Linked DNA regions of Oryzias latipes. The protein of the gene in region 2 interacts with the protein of the main gene of each other region in a pairwise test. Links are inferred from orthologs where the notes say so. Each region holds a gene or a part of one and is shown on either strand. Other genes may lie near its edges.

Region 1 (3,950 bases), on a different chromosome or scaffold from region 2:
ATCGGTTCAATCGAACCCAATCATCAACAGACGCTGTCTACAACATCCACTAAGTTTTTCACTATAGCCCCAACTTACTGTGAGTCGTGTAAATTCACCTCAGGGTTTATCCTCAACACAAAACTGACTTTAACCCTTAATTCTCCTGTTTTGGGGGCATAGGACACTAAAAGTAATTGAAAAGCAGAGAAGAATCACAAACATGTCCATCCAAATGCCTCTGCAGCACTGCAACATTATCAATAATACCCCCCACAAAGGTTACTGTGGAATGTAAGGAGAATGAAGCATTTCACACATTCAGCCAGTGTGCCATCTTCCTGGAGCCACTCCGGGGTCACCTTCCATTCACAGAGCTTTCGCGCTGCTTTTCTAACAAACCATCAATTTAGTGAAAAGAAAATTGTTGTGGAGGCTCACTTGTCTTTCTGCGCCAACAAAATTGGAACCACTCTGACCCCAGTTTTTCTTTTGTTGGAGAAGCATTCCTCTTGGCTGGCTTTGAGAGGTCAGAAATAATAAGGAGAAATTGTTCAGCGTTCAGCCAAAGAACTGTTTATTACATGTAACGCATCTGAACATAAAGCCTGTTTGATGCTCCAAACAAAGGAGGGAAAGCAAAAACGCAGTTAGATTCAGTCAGACTGAGCTGGTCCCACATCTGCAACGCTTTTATGCAAGTTCAGCTACAACTAAACATCTACATACAGAAAAAGACTTGGCTTCCATGTTTTCTTCTGTAGCATTACAGCAAAAAGAAAAAAGAAAGGAGCTCATCCATCGCAGCATCCAGGAGGTTGAGCTCAAAAAGGCACTTAAGAAAGACGGAACAGTTTCCGAATCTCAAATAAATACATGATGGTGAGTGGAAGAGCTCTGCAGCAGAAAAGCTGCAGGCCTTCATGCGTGCAGAAAGTGGCGTGTGTTCAGGTGAAGCTGCAGCCACAGAGAGCTCAGTCCACGTTCCTGTACCTGGAGAAGAGGTTGTAGAGGACGCGCAGCGTAGACTTCAGGTCACAGTTCACGATGTCTGCAGAAACACCAGCATCCATTTAAAAAAGGCTTCATGAAAGAAACACTGAGAAACCAGACGAATACATGTCATTATCGTTTAGTGCGCCATTTTGCTGTTTAATGACCCTGGAGAACCCACTGGCTCAAATCTGTTTTTAAATTTCATTTATTTACCTCTATTGTGTTAAATGTTTGTATTTATGTATATATGTATTTTTGGTAGCTCCTAATTGCTGCTACCCAAAACAAATTGACAAAAAAAGGTCAAATTTACTTTAAAAGCCCAAAAGAAAAACTGTTCTTGCGCTCTCCAGGTTTAACTTTTAATTTCCTGAAATTGAAAATCATTCATTTAAACAAGCATAAAGCTTTAAATTCTTTTTTTTTTTAATCAAAGCACGTGAAGAACTGCTGTAAAACCTGATAAATCTGTGGAATCCATACATTTATAACCCCTCCACCCCACAGATTGAGCTCCAAACATGATTCATTGTGTACATTTATCCGTCTTAAGCTGTCAGACTAAGGCCAGGACCCGCTAGACCGCCATTCATGCTCTTATTTTGTAAAATCCTGTTGAAACGACGATAACTTGCTGCATCAAGGCTTTCATAGGTGAGGACAATAAAACGACTGAACAACAGAAAAACAGAAAGTATTCAATCCAGGCACTAAATATAAGGCTACAAGTGAAGCTACAAGAGAGCCAAAGTGATGTAAACATGCGGCGTACCCTCGGGGCGGGGCTTGGGCCGCTCCAGACCGCCGTCTTGCATCAGCTCAAAGGAGAAGGACACGTTGTGGACCTGCGCAGACAGACGAACACGTTAACGCAGTCAGAGGAGATGCTGCAGCTGCACGTGGAAACGTGGCGAGCCATCAGAGTGCAGCCGGGGTTATCCAGGGAAGAGCCCTAATGCCAGGGAGGGGTCCCCATCTGTCCAGCCAGCACACGACAGCAGGAACACCTGAAATCGAGGCTCCCTGATGAGAAAACCTGGAGGAACAAAACAGGAGCGATTCCACAGCCACAGAAAAAAGACAGTTGTGAGAGGAGGAAAACCAATCAAGGGGCAGGGGCGCCGGAAGACTCTTTCTATTCACCCCTGTTGTGCTGTGTGCATGTGTGTGTGTGTGTGTGTGTGTGTGTGTGTGCACTCATGGGGAAGGACTAGAAGCTTTGCCCATTGAAACCGTTTGTGAACTTAGTCCATCTGACAGAGGAGAGATCCGCTCTGACGTGAAGCAGGATGGCTTTCCTGAACCCCCCCCCCACACACACACACACACAAACACACTGCAGGGTTTCTGGCCTTCAAACACCCGCCACGCACACACGGGGGCCTGCAAAGCACTCCAGTGTTCCTCTGTGCAGCAGGAGATTAAAGGCGCTGAGGGCCGCTCTTCCGGGCCAGCACCGTCTCTGTGTGCTTGTGAGGCGGTGCTGGTGCCGAGCACCGAGGCCTATTTTACCAGCAGCTTGGCAGGGGATGCTGGCTGAAGCCCAAAAGGAGGCTGTCCCTGAAGAAGGCCTGTGCAGAACACCACAGTGCTGCGGAGAGGAGTCGCTAATCACAGTTGGAGCTCAGCTGAACCTGTAGGTTTGGAGTCTTCTAAAAAGGAAAGCTTTAAATACATTTAGAAAAAACTCCAGTCTACCTTCATTTATAAAGCTCTTCAATGTTCCCCTTTTGGGATCAATAAAGTATAATTGAATTAAATTGAATCATCTCCACAATCTCACAAAATCAAGTTGGATAAGATGAGTAAACATTTCTGTGGTATTAAGAGCTGCTTTTAAACCGTGGGCTTGAAAGTAAGACTTCAACAAACAGTCTGACATGGGGGGGCTGCAAAGTTTGGGGGCTGCTGCAGCAAAAGCACCATCACCTCTGAACTCACACTTTGTGTGTGTGTGTGTGTGTTAAGAACCAGCTGATCAGTTGAGCCTGGCCCGTTACCAGAGGGCAGTCCGCGCTGCCCAATGTGATTGATTGATTGATTGATTGTTCCAGTTTCACACTCTGTATTGGTGTCCATAATTGGACATGAGAACCTGGCTGAAAGCTTTCTAATGCTGCACCGCAGCGACCGCAGCTCCGCCTCTCCCATCTGTAACAATCAACCACTTCTTTTAGCATTCTGCTGTTAAGGAATTCTGTTTTAATTAGAAAATATAATGATGAAAAAAGGGGCGGTGCTACTGGTGCAATCAAAATGAAATCTAACTATTTAATCTATTTACAAACAAACATTTTTAGAATTATCACACAACCAGATTTAAGAGACACAGTCAAGACCATAAATATTTGGACAGAGACACATTCTTTCTAATTTAGTTTCTTGGCATTACCACAGTGAATTTTAAATAAAACAACTCAGATGCCATTGAAGTGCAGACTCTCAGCTTTTATTCCATGGGTTGAACAAAAAGATTGTATAAAAATGTGAAAAACTAAAGCATTTTCTAAACACAATCCCTTAATTTCATTAGCTTGTAAGTAATTAGACAAATGAAATAACTGAAAACCAAATGGTCATTCCTAATATTTGGTTGAAAAGCCTTTGTTGGCAATGACAGCCTGAAGTCTTGAACTCATGGACATCACCAGATGCTGGTTTTCTCCTTCTGAATGCTCTGCCAGGCCTTTACTGCAGCGGCTTTCAGTTGCTGTTTGTTTTTGGGCCTTTCTGTCTGAAGTTTAGTCTTCAACAAGTGAAATGCTGCTTAATTGGGTTAAGATCAGGTGACTGACTTGGCCATTCAAGAATATTCCACTTCTTTGCTTTAATAAACTCCTGAGTTGCTTTGGCTGTATGTTTTGGGTCGTTGTCCATCTGGATTATGAAACGCCGGCCAATCAGTTTGGCTGCATTCACCTGGATCTGTGCAGACAGTTTGTCTCTGAACACCTCAGAATTCATTGGGCTGCTTC
Region 2 (2,909 bases):
CCTCGGAAGGGACAAACGGGTTTGGACGATGGATGAATGACTCAGACTGTTTGATCTTTAACCTCTGTGACCTTTCCCAGCTAACGACCATCCAGAGTCTTTTGTTCTGAAAGAGCCGCTCCGTCATGCTGACGGATCTTCCTCCAAATGTTTCTCAGACATTAAATGTGGTCAAATCCAAACTGTTGCTGGTTCTTTAAAAACATGTTTGTAAGGCTTTTTTAACTTGGTTCTTTGCTATTCCAACAGGTTTGGTGCAGAATGCTTTGATGAAAGGTCGGTTTAAGGTCGTCTTGTCGGACAAAGTTCTTTTTTTCTGTGGATGGAGACGACTGCGTTGCATCAGTTCAGATATCTCTTTCTGTGCTTCAGACTCTGAAAACAGACTTACCTCATCTAAACTTTGGGATACAGACCAGCCTCAGTTGAAAGGTGTGCTCGGCAGGGAGGATCTTATAAATCTCAGTGTTGAACTGCATGATGGGAAATGTAGGATCCCGCTTTCTGTGAGCTCTAATTAACTACATTAAAGATCTGTCTGCATCTGCTCTAAAGATGTCCACCCTTCCTAAACCACTTCCATTCCAAACTATAAAGGTCCAGACTTTAAATCTGTGTGTGACTTGTGTTCCAGCCTTGTTACATTTCTTCTGTCCTTCATTTCCCACAATGCTCTGCATCCATCATTTGGTGTAATCCTTCCTTACTGGTGAAGGGCCGGGTCTTTCATCACTTGTAATCCAGGCTTTCTTTTAAATACATGTCTTCCCCCTGAGCGTGAGATCCTCCTGGTTCTGTGATCCGGGCCGGCTCTCTGGTGGGACGCCGCTCCCTGCAGAGCCTTCACAGGCCCTGGTGGGAAACCCTTTCATCTGTGAACAGCAGCATCGCTGTAGGAGGAGGTTCAGCCTCCGCGTGTGAACGCTTTCCATGTCTTTCAGGAAGTAACTGAAATTATTCTGTCCAACAGCAGTTCTCATATTTGTGTTTGGAGCTTTTGTGGCGTGATGACTCATGGCTTCAGTCTTCAGTCAGTCCGAGCTGCTCCATGTACAGATGTTGTCCTCACAGCCAACAAATGAAGTCTTTCCTTTCCAGCTGCCCCCTCCCCGTCCCTCTCTCTGGTGAATGAAGCCCAGTATCTCATGATCAACCTCGCCAGCGTGAAGCTCATTCAGAGTCTAATGAGCAGCAGGTCTGAACACATTTGCATCGCTCCAGGATGCATTTACATGATAGAGGCTGGTCTCTGCAGCTCAGTGGAACAACGTCTCCTCATTTCCTTCTGTCACAGGCAGGGCGGCGGCGAGGACCAGGAGCTCCTCGTCTCTCAGAAAGTCATCAGGCGCTTCCGAGCCAATTTAGTCATCACTGGAGGAGAAGCATTCGATGAGGATAATTGGTCACACTTGATCATTGGCAGCACCCGCTTCGTGGTGAGCTGACACTCTGACTTGAATGTGACATCTTCAAACGCATTCAAAGCCAGTCAAGTGGATCATTGCCAAAGCCTGTGCCCTGTGTGATAAACCGTAAGGTCGCGGGTCAGTGTGGAAGATGCCAGATGGTGGGAATAGACCAGGACACCGGAGCCAAATGTAAAGAGCCGCTCGTGTCCCTGTCTGCCCTCCGCGGCGGGAAGGTGGGTCAGAAACATTCGCCGCTCCTCAGTTATCTGTGTGTGACGCAGGAACAGAAAAACCAAAGATGATGGAGATGTTTCCACCTTTAGGTGACGTTTGGCGTGTATCTGACTCATGAGACTGCAGACGGCTCTGCAGCAGGACACGCTCTCTCTGTTGGTTCTGTTATCCAGCCGGAACCACACGGGCCTTGAAGGGTCACCTCTTTGTTTTTTCTCATCGCTGTTAATCCTCCCATCTTTTTAACGTTTTTAAAATGAAAAACATCAAAGATTTGGAATTCAGCTCTTAGATGGAATCACCTGAAATCTTAGCTACAAAGGAAATGTTATTTCAACAGCTGCCCATTTAACTCATCAACCTTCTTTACCAGCCAAAGACAGAAATGAATGTTCAACATATGCCGATGATCTACTGTTGAGAGGAGAAGAGCGCCGATCTGTTAGGAACGCAGCATCAGTGGAGGTACTTTTCTCTCTGTGTCCCCAGAGAATCACGGAAAGAACCGTTGCATCCTCTAAAGATGAAGTCGCCACATTGCCTTCCCTCTAACACCTTTACAACACCATGAACTGTAAAGGCAATGATTGTAATGATGCACTGAAAGCCATCAATAGGAAGAGAATGAAAATAAAAGGCACATCAACACTTCAGCTTTGGTTCATTTATTAATGCTGAAAAATAAAAACCAAAGTCCAGATGACCTTTTAACCTCTTTCTGGGATGAACCGTCGGGATGAGTGAGAGTCTTCAGGCAGAAATCTCACCAAGCCGTTTCTGAAGCCGGTTTATTGTCTTTAGAAAGTCTTTGAAAGCAAGAAGAGGTAAGAAGAAACATTCATCCAAATTAATGGAGTGTGAAACGTTCAAGTAAATAGCGTTCAGTTATGGAGCAATCTTTGCAGAAACCATGAAGCTCCAATCATGTTCAGGGAATTTGATTTCCTGGTGACATTGCTGAAGTACTCTGAAGAAAAATGTGTGAAAACATCTGCAACAGTAGAAAGTAGAAAATACTTTGTACTTTCAGTTTAGTTCCTGTTTACGTTTTGGCTTTTATTATTCGATATTAAATCTAAGACTTAGAGTTTTCTGTATGTCTTGGTGTTCATAACGGAATACTACAAAGATTTGATTCTGTTTCCAAAGTAAAGGAAGAACCAAAACCTCTGTGGCAGGTCTGCAACCTGAGGCCCCGGAGCCACTTTAGCCTCTTTTACCCTCTGTAGGGGCTCTCTGGCTGAAGAGAAATAAAATATTTTTTAA

Evidence for each region.
Region 1: the proteins of mocos (region 2) and alpha-parvin interact in binary tests that used the Homo sapiens proteins (3 or more experiments, as listed by UniProt). The two-hybrid records come from large-scale screens. The link is inferred for Oryzias latipes from reciprocal best matches to the Homo sapiens genes MOCOS and PARVA.

What each region holds. Positions count from the first base shown.
Region 1 is NC_019864.2:719,025-722,974, reverse strand, and holds the end of alpha-parvin, read right to left. Parts: intron 1,821-3,950; coding exon 1,748-1,820; intron 1,031-1,747; coding exon 954-1,030; 3' UTR 533-953; downstream 1-532. UniProt on the Homo sapiens protein: Plays a role in sarcomere organization and in smooth muscle cell contraction. Required for normal development of the embryonic cardiovascular system, and for normal septation of the heart outflow tract.
Region 2 is NC_019873.2:30,323,802-30,326,710, reverse strand, and holds the end of mocos (molybdenum cofactor sulfurase), read left to right. Parts: intron 1-249; coding exon 250-432; intron 433-1,098; coding exon 1,099-1,195; intron 1,196-1,294; coding exon 1,295-1,436; intron 1,437-1,537; coding exon 1,538-1,642; intron 1,643-1,732; coding exon 1,733-1,837; 3' UTR 1,838-2,296; downstream 2,297-2,909. UniProt on the Homo sapiens protein: Sulfurates the molybdenum cofactor. Sulfation of molybdenum is essential for xanthine dehydrogenase (XDH) and aldehyde oxidase (ADO) enzymes in which molybdenum cofactor is liganded by 1 oxygen and 1 sulfur atom in active form.